Linked DNA regions of Nothobranchius furzeri. The protein of the gene in region 1 interacts with the protein of each later gene in a pairwise test. Links are inferred from orthologs where the notes say so. Each region holds a gene or a part of one and is shown on either strand. Other genes may lie near its edges. The genes, in order: zmynd19, enox1 and tnfaip1.

What was found.
Region 2: the proteins of zmynd19 (region 1) and enox1 interact in binary tests that used the Homo sapiens proteins (3 or more experiments, as listed by UniProt). The two-hybrid records come from large-scale screens. The link is inferred for Nothobranchius furzeri from reciprocal best matches to the Homo sapiens genes ZMYND19 and ENOX1.
Region 3: the proteins of zmynd19 (region 1) and tnfaip1 interact in binary tests that used the Homo sapiens proteins (3 or more experiments, as listed by UniProt). The two-hybrid records come from large-scale screens. The link is inferred for Nothobranchius furzeri from reciprocal best matches to the Homo sapiens genes ZMYND19 and TNFAIP1.

Annotation. Positions count from the first base shown.
Region 1 is NC_091746.1:54,509,951-54,514,193, reverse strand, and holds the start of zmynd19 (zinc finger MYND domain-containing protein 19), read left to right. Parts: upstream 1-1,364; 5' UTR 1,365-1,545; coding exon 1,546-1,596; intron 1,597-2,861; coding exon 2,862-2,921; intron 2,922-3,016; coding exon 3,017-3,123; intron 3,124-3,615; coding exon 3,616-3,756; intron 3,757-3,934; coding exon 3,935-4,115; intron 4,116-4,208; coding exon 4,209-4,243. UniProt on the Homo sapiens protein: May be involved as a regulatory molecule in GPR24/MCH-R1 signaling.
Region 2 is NC_091754.1:35,044,203-35,048,241, forward strand, and holds the start of enox1 (ecto-NOX disulfide-thiol exchanger 1), read left to right. Parts: upstream 1-1,224; 5' UTR 1,225-1,975; intron 1,976-4,039. UniProt on the Homo sapiens protein: Probably acts as a terminal oxidase of plasma electron transport from cytosolic NAD(P)H via hydroquinones to acceptors at the cell surface.
Region 3 is NC_091753.1:22,424,318-22,428,363, forward strand, and holds the start of tnfaip1 (BTB/POZ domain-containing adapter for CUL3-mediated RhoA degradation protein 2), read left to right. Parts: upstream 1-1,227; 5' UTR 1,228-1,561; intron 1,562-4,046. Other genes in the region: ift20 (intraflagellar transport protein 20 homolog), read right to left, coding at 1-35, 168-253, 368-494. UniProt on the Homo sapiens protein: Substrate-specific adapter of a BCR (BTB-CUL3-RBX1) E3 ubiquitin-protein ligase complex involved in regulation of cytoskeleton structure.

The DNA.
Region 1 (4,243 bases):
ATGTCAAGAAACAGTGTGATGTAGTGCTGTCACACCTTTTAAATTCTAGTGTAGCATTTCACCGTCTATTTTTTTTTTCAAAAAGTATATTTTATTGCATTTTCAGTTAACTGTACATCTTTCACACATTATTATGTTGTATACTGAAAGTACATTCTGTATAAAATCTTAATGGAACAACAGAACAACAGAACAATTTAACAATTTTGGTTGTGCTTCTGGCGATACTCTTCACCATCTATTTTATATCATTGGGAAGGAAATAGATGTAGGACACAATTTTCACGTTTAGCCTACACGTTAAACTCAGAATGACCTATGTTTTTCAAAAACAATAAGTCAAAAATGCTTTCTCTGTGAAGGACCTCTTTAAAGGTGACTAATCAGGATAAATGATTTATACAGATTCATGTATTTCCATGTACAATGAAATTCTTCGCTGCTTGCAATGGATGCCAAAAGTATATGTCAGAAAGGGTTATAGTTTTGGCACTTCTACAAGATCCATTTGTAAAGTTACCCCACTCTTATTTTGGTGGTCCAGTTTGTGACATCACTTCCTCTAGATAGTCCCACTCTATCACAGTATAATTTAGGTTTTTAAACAAATAAGATAAAAAAGAAGCAACAAATCAATCAAAACTATTAACTCTACCAAAGTTACAGCACCATTATTCATGTGCAAGTGAAATAAGTGTCCATAGAGGGAGTGGATGGGGTCTTTGAAGATGGAGGTGACTGTCCTGTTGACTCAGTGGTTATTGGTGGTGGTGATGCTGCTCCCGTACCAAACCTTATCACACAGAGATGCAACAGATCTAATTGACTCAATGATGCAGCTGTAGAAGATGCTGAGGATTCTGAGTGACAAACTTCCTCAGCCCCCTAGGAAGTACAGTAGCTGTGTGGAGCCTTCTTTAATGACTGTGTGGTGTTCAATGCACAGGTGAGGTCCTCACTGATGTGGACCCCCAGGTATTTAAAGTCAAGAAGCATTGTTACAAAAAAACAAATAATCAGCCAAACACAACCCATTTTGCTTTTATATGACAACATTTATAACAATGTTTATTCTTTATAAGTTCATGTTTAATTTTAAATGAAAGCTTTTAGAAAACGGAGATTCCTCCCCTTCAGTGGCACAGAGCCGCCAAAGATTTCGCGCGAAAATGATTGGAAGTGATCACGAGAGAGCATTGACGTCTAAGTTAAAATAGGCAGTCTTAAACGTTTGTGTAATTCTATTGGGCGCAAGGACAGGGCATCGCAGACTAAAACGTGTTTCGATTGGTTGGTTGGAATAGTGGCTCATTCCTTCGATAACCCCGCCTCTCACCACAGCTCGCCCAGCTTTCGTGCTCCAGCGGCCGTGTGTCACCGAGGCTGGGCTGCGGCCGGAGAGACCTGGAGGTAGGGCAGTCACTACACTGAACCCAGAAGTTGCATCGCATCGGGGCAGACGGGCTGCCCTGGCGAGTTCTACACCCCGAAAACCGCCAAGGTTGGATTCTACGCCTCGTTGTGTCAACACCACCCGTCCTCCTGATGTCGGATTTCAAGCTCGGGATTGTTCGGCTCGGCCGTGTGGCCGGGAAGGTGAGCTGGATCCCAGTGCTGCCATGTGCGGCCCGTGGGGAATGCGGAAACCTCAAGTAAATACACTGTTAACGGCAATTTATCGATGCCAGTCAGCTGCCGTAATGATAATGGTGCCGTTGAGGGCGCGGGAGTGGGCTAGTTGTACCGTTTCAGAGTCGTTTGAGCGGATTAGAAAAGCCGGCCGCGTCGAGCCAGAGCCAGTCTGCTCTTCTCTACTCCACCGCTATCACTGTCTTCCTTCAAGCTAACACTAGCTAGCATGTCCGTTAGCTGGTTTACTTCCAGTAACAAAACGTCTACCTGAAACGTGAACACAAACTATTTGTGCTTTTGTTGCTGCTGACACTGTCGTGGCTCGTGGCTGGTTGGGGGTGTGGTGTGACAAGGAGAACTGACATTTTATCTTGTAGCGGATAGGTTAGCATCACCAGATTAGCCGTTAGCCATGGCATCTGGATTAGACAGGAGCTGACAACTAATGAGGGAATCGGTGCCTTGCTTCATCAACGCTAGCCCGTGGTAACATAACACCGGCATAGCAATGCTGCGCTCCACACCTCGGGGCTAAAGTATTGTGATTTATTCCGTTCAAATAACGTAATTGCCTCAGATACACGTGACTTTAAATCGGGGCAGGATGCTGGTGTTGACACCCCTGGCTGCTGCTGCTGTCACTGCTGTCACAAGACACGCAGGATAAACTGCTGTCACCAGTCTTGCATCTCATCCGGCTGAGTGACAGTTTTCCTCTGGTTGAAACGTTTTTATATTTAGTTTTAAAACAGATAATTACGCCTTGTTTCATGCCGTTATTAAACCTCTGGTAGGTTGAAACAGGATAAAACTAGTCATTATTGTGGGTAAGTGTATTATAACTTTTACACACTTGGTCAGTTCAGGATTTGACCTGCAACAAAGGGATTGCAGGTCAAATACATATGCGTCTGAGTGGTGTCATCCTCTGTTTATCTTGCAAACATCAGGTGTGTTGCAAATTTTGAACTGGCACAGATCACTTGATTTAAATCTTTTATAGAGGATGAGCTTGAACCATCAACTGGTAGTGAGTGGAAGTTCTGAAAAGCCCTTTCTAAAAATTTCAACTTGTGGTTTTACTAATAGACGAGCTTAAAAATTGGGTATTTGCTGGCGGCATATTGGATAGTGTTTTTTCATTAAAATCCATTCAAAGTATGTTATGATCACAGCTGTAGATTTTATTGTGAAACTCAAATCATGTCTTCAATTTTTCTCCATTTCAGACAAAATACACTCTGATTGATGAGCAGGACATACCACTTGTGGAAAACTATGCCTTTGAGGTAAACTATCAGAATGTTTTGTACCCCGTTTCCCATTTTTATCGCTAACCACAGCCAAGAAGTTTAAAACGGCTACATTTTCCCTCTATTTTTAGGCACGCATGGAGGTAGATGCAGATGGCAATGGTGCTAAGATCTTTGCTTATGCTTTTGACATCGGAAAAGGCCGCTGGGCAGGAAGACCTCTGCATGAGCTACTCTGGTAAGTCTTTTGTTTTCTACAAAAACAAGATGTTCTCTGTGAGCAAAAATGAATAGTTAACATTATCTTCTATATTTAAGTCTTTATTCCTTGACTTGTAGTAGGAAAAGCCTTGAACCTGAACCAGATTGATAAGAACTTCTGAAAAGAGAAACTGATTCTGTGTACGCCAGGAAAAAATACATCATAAATGCTAAAAAAGCAAACATCAACATTTAAATGGATCCTATACAATGGAAAGTTTTAGCTTGAATCTCCCATACCTAATGAGGACAAATCAACCATCTATATTTCCTTTACAAGAATCTTAAAGGTCATTGGTGTTTAGGCTATTTTGCAGCAAATATTAAAACCATCCTTGTTATCCATTAAGTGCATCTGTAGACTTCAAAAACCAGAAATTTCCCCTGGAGGGTAGGGTTAGCTGTATGTTTAAATAAATCCTCAGTAACTCTGAATGAACCAGTTCTTGATTTCTTTGCTTTTAACCAGGGAGAAGCACAGGGGAGGCATTGCCCCTAGTTTTCAAGTGATTCACATCAACTCCGTAACCGTCGACAACCGGTTAGACAACCTTCGACTGGTGCCGGTGGGCTGGAGCCCCAAGCCGGAGGAGATTTCCAGCAAGCAAAGGTGAGACCACTTATGAATTCTGCTGAAAGGCATGGGGGCAAAAATACTAAACATTCCTGAGAGGACTTCGGTAGCTGACGTTGAGTCACTACCATGACTCACATGTTGAGAACCATACTGATTCTAGCAGTATGGTGGACAATAACTGATGTCTTCTGTGTTTTTGTTTTCCTCCTAGAGAGCAGTCTCTGTACTGGCTGGCCATCCAGCAGGTCCCAGCCGACCCGGTGGAGGAGCAGTACCTAGAGCTAAGCCGCACGCGCTACTACAATGCTAACGGGGAGCTAGTGGAGGAAGAGGAGTGCTCCTGCACTTATTACGAGTGTCATTACCCCCCTTGTTCACTAATTGAGAGGAGGGTGTGTACTGAAAGTTCCGATGTTGATTAAAAAAAAACTTTACTCATTCATTTAGCAGGAACATCAAACCTTAATGATCTCGTCTTTCCACAGCTACGAGAGTTTAACATCTGTGGTCGCTGCCAGGT
Region 2 (4,039 bases), on another chromosome or scaffold:
ACCCTAAAAGTGATGCTTTTTTGAAAGACACCACTTTGAGTTTGGTCATCTTTTTGATGCTAATATTGAGGATCTGGGGCATGAACTGCATCAGTTCAAGAGACTTTTGGATAGAAAAATAAAGACTGGTGTGGTTGAAAAGCTTTCTGATACAGTGGAGTTGATCCGTTTCACAAGGAGGTATTTTACGAGTTCTTTAGACTGTGCAAAATCGCAGTTGCACTCCCAGTAAGTTCTGCCTCTTGTGAGCGGAGTTTTTCAACATTAAAATTAGTAAAAACCTACCTCCGGTCTACCACTACAGATGAGCGCCTTAGCAATCTAGGGGTGCTAAGCATTGAATCCAGAAGGGCCAAGGCTCTGAATCTTGAAGCATTTGTAGACCGTTTTGCAAGACAGCACAAACGTAGAATACTGTTATTGTAATGGGACAGATTACTGTGTGACCAATTACTGTCACATCTTGATGATGATTTATGCTGTAAAACTAAATCAGCAAAAACTTACACAAAAGAAGTGTGTGTGTGTGTGTGTGTGTGTGTGTGTGTGTGTGTGTGTGTGTGTGTGTGTGTGTGTGTGTGTGTGTGTGTGTGTGTGTGTGTGTGTGTGTGTGTGTGTGTGTGTGTGTGTGTGTGTGTGTGTGTGTGTGTGTGTGTGTGTGTGTGTGTGTGTGTGTGTGAGTGAGTGAATGTTTATTTTTCATATGTACAGTTCATGTGCAGATATTTTATTTGTTTGAATGTTTATTTTTCATATGTACAGTTCATATAATCTTCTAATAAAGTCACAAACTATAATAATTGACTAGAATTGTTTTTTTTACTCAAGTCTCATGTTACTGTGAAGCATTCAGAATTGTTATCTGAGTACCATAAAAACATGCCAGTTTTACTTTCACAAGTAAACCATTACTGCATTTGCCGTAATAGTTTACTTGTTCATTGTCTTTTATTATGATTTTTTTTTCTTGTGCCCCCATGAAAAAATACTGGCCCCACTGTGGCCCCCCTGGAAAATTTGGTCTAGAACCGCCCCTGTTGTTGTGTTTCACCATCTGAGTTTCCTCAGGAAATAAAGCTGGGGTTTTCTGTTCAGATGTTAGTTCAGAGATTAAGTTTGTCTGTGGTTTCTGGTTTGGAGAAGAACAAAACACTTCCCAGATTAATAATCATGTCAGGTATGAATGCAGCCTGACTCAGCCAGCTCCTACGTGCCTCCTGCAGCCGTCCGATGGGAATCTCTGAGAATGAGGAAACTTTGTTGAGACAACAAACATTCATGTGTCAACCTGACTCACCAAGAAGCTCCTTGGCTGGATGTGGGAATGCCAGCCTGTTAGCTTCTAGAGCAGGAGTTTTGTTGGTTACACACTAAATGGTTAAATCTATTCAAATCTAAATAGGAAGTAAAATCTGATCCAGAAAATCTGAATGTGACATTTTAAAACCGAACGTTGTAACATGTGAATCCAGACTAACAAAATAAAAGCAGGAGATCCTCTGTCTGGAACAAAAGGATCAGGACTTTCCTGATCTATGAGCGTTTTTCTCTGGTTCATCCATCCATGAACTGTCTGAGTCTAAATATTCCCACATAGTTATTCATTCATTTGGATTTGAATGATGAATTAATTAAGCTGCTAATCTCGGCTCCTTTTCGGTTCGTTTGTGGTGAAGTTTGATCAGGTTTCATCTGACTAAACCATTTTATTACCATCTACTTCCTCCGCGGTACCAGCTCTCACCGGTCGGTACCTCCAGTCTGAGCCCAGACCTGGCCGTCGTGCACGTGTCGAGCGCGCGCCCTTGGGTTCTCCGTCCTCCTCCAGCAGCAGCAGCAGCATCAGCACCAGCAGCTGCTCTCTGAGAGAAAGCGCACGCAGGATTTGTCTCCAGCTTCGCCAGAACCGGGATTTACCGTCTTCCCGCCCGCACATTCCGCCGCTCCGCGTCGGATCCTCCCGGTTCCTGACCCGGTAAGGAGGAAGTAAGCTCTGCTGAGTGTCTGCTGACATTAAAACCGTTGTTTTCCGGTGGAGCCCCGCTCGGTGCTCGAGCCCACATCTGCGGAAGAACAGAAGCTTCTTTTGTTTGCTTTCAAGTTGATGTGACGTGATGTTGGGATGTGAGGTTTCTCCTGGAGCGGAGCGCGAACCTTGTTTTTATTCAGAGGAGGCAGGATGCTCCCGCAGCTCCGATCTGGGGCTTTAACTGAATACTCACCCAAAGTCAGAGTCGCTAAAGAAATGCATGAAAAAGTGTGAATAACGAAGAGAGAAAGTGACCAGATAGGAGCAGACCCGGGTTCTCTCAAATGTCCGGTGGCGGTCCTGATGCTGTCCGCAACAATGTCCACTTGCAGGGCTGAAATCTGCTGCTGCTGCTGTGTGGGCATGCGTGCGTGTGAGTGTGTGTGTGCGCGCGCCCGTGTGTGTATGTGTGTGTGTGCGTGCGTGTGCGTGCGCATGTGTGTGGCCGTGTGTGTGTGTGTGTGTGTATCGGGTGAGTTGGTGGAGGAGAGGATGCCCTTGCTTTGAAGTCACCTTGGCCCTTGAGCAGCATCAGTCCACCTCCCCTCCTGTCAGCCGGAGGCTTTTATCTGAGTATTTTAGATAAACAAGGGAAGTTTGGTGTCAGATAAAAGCATCAGAAGCTGAGGAGCAGGAGGTGGACTCCTGTGGCTTACTCGAGTAGAAAAAGTAAAAGTGTAACTCAGCCCTGAAGCAAGGCACAGAGTCATTTTAACAGCATTCAGGCTCAGTGCAGCACGTTCATGTTGGCTCATAAACACAGAGCTCCTGGTAACTCGTCACCACGGCAACCCTCCTCAGCATCGTGTGAAGGCAGCATCAGGGAGTGTCAGTAACAAACCTATAATCTGATAACGCTTACCGAAACACGGGTTCTCTTATAAATCAGGCTGAATCTTTGTTTTTATAAGACGTTTATGTTTTATCCTCTCAGATCGATGGTAGTGTGTTCTGCTGCTGACTCATAATCTGTGGATTAGAACTTAATCCGACACATTATTTGTGCTCATGAACAGGTTTGTGTGAAGTCTGTAAATGTTCATGCACACTATCCTGTATGTGTGTGTGTGTGTGTGTGTGTGTGTGTGTGTGTGTGTGTGTGTGTGTGCAGGATGCAGGACATTCTACTCTTGTTCTTTTATTCGTGTTGCTAACAAACGTGTCAATCTAATCCAAGATGGCGACCACATCATATATACACCCAGGTCTACACGTGGTAGCTGAGAGCCAACAACACACACTCCAATCAGATGGCTGCATTATCAACTGTTTGCAAACATCCTGGAACCATAACACGAGTGTAGTGAATCTGTTTTGGACTCCAGTGAAGATGAAGAATTTTATAATGATGAGAACGTTCTAATCCGAGCTCTTGGATGGATACTTCCGGGTTACGAGAGGTGTCCGATCGTCTGTGAAAGAGTGTCATTAAACAGTAAACCCCAGGAGACACTGGGAGTACAGACAGCACTCATCATCATCATCATCATGATCAGCAACAAACAGCTCCTCGGTTGTCTGCAGGCAAACATCCTGCTGTTCCATGATGAGCTGACATGATGGTGTGATTGCTGAGTCGCTGCAGCAGAATCTGATACCCTCGTCCCAGTGGCGGCTGGGGGCAAGGCCAGGCTGGTTCTGAGAGCGACTGCAGACGCCAGATTTCCCAGAGGTTGTTGGGGAGAACATGGCTGACGGGGTTTCACATAAAAACACGTGCACAGGCAGAAGAATCCTCTGACTGGACCAAAAATCTCGACAGAATTCTTCTGTTGAGATTTCGTGTTTTGCATCTCATTACACCGTGTGGCAAACAGCAGCCTGTTAGCTTCCGTAATGCGATTATCCATCCTCCTCGAGTCTTTTGCAGATCCTGCCACGCCACCTCACAAACAGTAATTGACCCCACGCTGCAGAGCTCAATGGGGACGTCTGCCGCTAATTGTGGTGGTATTTTCAGATACGGTGAGAGCATTAGACTGTGTTCCACCACAGGAAGAATTACTCACA
Region 3 (4,046 bases), on another chromosome or scaffold:
GCCACAGACTTCAGCAAGTTTCTGGCTCCAATCGCCTACAGGACAGGATGATGAGTAATAAGTTCTGCTTACACATGATTAGAGCATAAACCCGATACCACTAAAAGTTTCACAGAATCAGGAGAGAAAACAGGGACATACAAAGCTGCTTTCTGTGTCAGACTTACCTTCATCTTCTCCGTTTCTGCTTCTTTTGCCAGTTCGTCCACCAGCTCGATTAGACCACCCACGGTCTTCTGAAACTGTCCAATTTCTGCAACAGAGGAGACAATTTTGCACACACTGTTGAGGCTGGTGATGATGAAAGGGAATAAATAGTTGGAAAAGTGTGGGGGTGGGGATGAGGACGTAAAATCTCCATGCTTACTGTCTACAAAGTCCTTGCACTCTTCTTTAAGCTCTGACGTCTTGTGGCTGACATCAGGCTCTAGCACCCGCAGCTTGTTCAGGTCATCAAAATAAAACCCTGCCTCTGCGAGTGGGTCTTTAGCCATGGCCAGAGGCCTGTCATCAACGACAGATGCAACTTAGTTTAGTAATATCAGATAGTTTGTAGGATAATATACCTAACAGGTAACACCCCATTATCATCATAATACACACAAGAGCAGGTTCAAAACAAACAGAAGTAAAACACATTATTTTACTAAAGATGTTCAAGTGCAAACCTTTCGGTAAAGCAGGATTCCTTCTACTCTAGTGCTTAAATTAACAGCACCTTAAATTAACCTCGGCTGAATGAAAGTTCATGTGTCACCAAATGAAAGATTATGCTTTTATTTTGTTTCGGTCATGTTAAGAACTCCCCAGCTAGATGATTTAAGTTAGCTAGCATAGCTAGATGTTTCAAAAATGCCACAAATTGTTTTCTGTCACCACTTCATAATAGATGACCAGTTTTTATGAAGATAAGAAACACAAATGTGTATGTTTTACCTGTTACAGTCGTGAGCTGATAGGCTTTATCCCGTGTGATGTGGCAGAGCAGATGAACTAGCAGCTAAGCTCCTCCTGTCGCTGCCAAGGAAACCAAACAGCTACAGCTGTGTCGGGGTCTTTGGGGGTGGTCGTTTTCCCCTATCCTTCTTAATTATCATAACAAAACTATTCACTGTTTCGTTACAACGCTGTCCCCTATGTTTTTTCCGTTTGAATACTTTACCGGTGTGTTACGTCAACATGAGTTCCTCTAGGGTGGGTGGAGGACTCGTATCGAGGTAACACCGGAGAACGGGAGTGACATGTTTATCGTAATGTTTTTAGAACTGTGACCAAGTCAGTCGCTCAGTGACATAAATGATCTAAAATTTAAATCTAAAAAAAAAAATTAAATAAAAAAAAAGCCCAACTATATGTTGTTTCTCTTATCTACTGTGGGTGTTCCACCCCAATGCGGAAGGTGACGGTAATGAACCGAAAAAGCAGTTCGCTAACAGCCATTCCAGAAAAAGAACAAGAAACGGATACGTCTGTTTTGTTTTCTTTCTTTTTTAAAATCATTTAAAACTCCATTTGTTTATTGTTGTTGTAAATATTACTTAAAATCATAAAAAAGAGGACGGTGAGTAACTAAAGCTTACAGACTCATACCGTGTTTAGGATCAACTGTAGGATCCAGTTTGGCCATTTTTTACTTTTCCTTAGTTTATTGAAGTTTTACCTCGTGATCACGAATATTCAGGAGTTAGTTTTCCGTTTACTAGAAATGCATTTAATGCAAACAGCGATATCGTTTCAGTGCGTTCAGCTTCTAATATTTGATCTGTTGTTTATCTGCTTTTCTGAGTTTTTGGCTAATGTTAGCGGGACATGCTAACAAGATACAGTAAAACGAATAAACATACAGCATAAAAGCTTTAGTTTCCACTGACCTGTGCTATTCTGAACTGAAACTGTATATCAGAGTTAACACGCATGTGAAACTAAATATTGTGTTTACACGGAGTTTAGTTATCATCACCTAACCTAACTGTTACTGGGCCCCAAACTATTTTTTTATCGGAATTTTTTAGCAGCCACACAACTTTAACCAGAAAGCAGCAGCTTCCATCTTAAGCTAAACTGATTGTTTTGGGACAAGAGTAAATGAAAAACTCCCTACTGGAGCCTCATAGGTGTTTTGGATCTGTTGGACTTCAGATAAACTGGTGCACCATCTATCTGAGACGGAAACAGGAAGTACACAGTACGATGTCCTCTGAAAATGACTACAACCGCATTACCAAATAATCTCTCAAAAATAAACATTAAACTTTGACGTATTCGTTTAAATAACAACTAAGGTATTTTATCAAGTGCTTTTAACTGAGAATGATACAAATAGTTATGAATCACAGGAGCTATTAGATGTTTAAAGTGTAACAGAAAGAGAATTTTAAAGTGTTTGGTTGTTTTATTAAACACTTTGTGTTCTTTAAGGTTCAAACACCTCCTGTAGACCATGTGAAAAGTCTAATAAGAAAATAAAAGAACAATAAAACTGAAAATAAGGAAGGCTGGAGCATTCAGGTGAGTAAAGGTTTATTAGGTGTGAGTAGGGATCCACAATATATCACAAATAAGTCGTTATCGCAATATCAGCATGCGCAATATGCATATCGCAAAGAACAGGTAAATACAGCAATGAATGGTCAGCTCAGATGTTTGCTACACATAATGCATTCTGTCAATCAAGCAGAAGCATTATGTTTTTTAAACAAATCAAATAGAGCTCTTTGGCATATTGGGTGGGTTCTCATAGGTTAGATGTCCGCCCCTGAGGCAGACGGCACTTAATTTTGATGGTTAGCAAACACCTGAGTTAGCTTTGTTCTGCTCTTTCTGCTTTTCCCGGGATCCACTGATTGCCTTTTATTGTTCATTTTATTTTTCCCTTTCCTCACATCTTTTGCTTTTCTCATTTTTATGATTTCTTTTTGTAATTTATTAATTTTGATTATTTTTGTTGCTGAGTTGAGTTTTTAATTATCGCAAGTCATATCGTCATTGCAATATTAGTCACTGTTATCGCATATCTCAGGTTTTCCTAATATCCTAGGTGTGAGTTAAAAGGACTAACGTTTCAACACTATGTGTCTTCGTCAGAGTTATGACATTGGTTACTCTGACGAAGACACATAGTGTCAAAACGTCCTTTTTACTTGCACCCAATAAACCTTTACTCACCTTGAGTCGTCCAGCCTTCCAGCTTTTCATTCAGTGTTCACCGGCTGTGGAGCACCGACCTGTGAGGGGTTGATACGCAGAGGGCTCCATTCCCTAACAATAATAAGACATTTTAGTGCTGTTTCTGATTTTTTAAAACACAATTTGGTGCAGAGTGAAAGATTGACCCATTATCTTCTTCAGTTAATCTAAGTGAAATTGAGGCATTCACTCAGAACTCAAACAACAGATTAGATCACCTCCACTTCGGTTATGTTCATGCACAGCCTCAAAAATCAGCTGTTAACATCATTCATGCAGAAATAAGTACACAGGAAGGAAACCGTTTCAGTGAGCTGAAACATGCAACACATTAGGATCACATGGTTCTTAAAGCCTCCACTGAGTTGTGACCGTCAGAACATGATCTGGTGTGTTTTATAGGTGGACAGGTAGAGACCCACTGGACCCACTTCCAGTAGGATCTGTCTTTCTTTCTTTCTTTCTTTCTTTCTTTCTTTCTTTCTTTCTTTCTTTCTTTCTTTCTTTATTCTTTCTTTATTCATTCATTCATTCAGACATTTAACCTTCTTTTAGATTGAATTGACTATTTGCTGTGAGCCAGAGAAACTGTGCCTCTTCCACAAATTTCTTCTTAGAGGCTGTAGCCAACCTTTGCAGTCAGACTTGTCTGAGAAGGACCTGCAGCTTTCTGAGTGTCTTTTGCAGCTCCGTGTGGTGATTTCATCTTCACTTGATATTTAAAGAGCCTCCAGGAGCTCTGTGCCCTCTCGGTGAGAACAGCCAGGTCGGTTAAAAACACTTATGTGTAGATCACTTTTAACACTTGAATGCTTTAGTCTTTGACGTGGTCTTATTTCCACATCAACTGTGGTGATTTC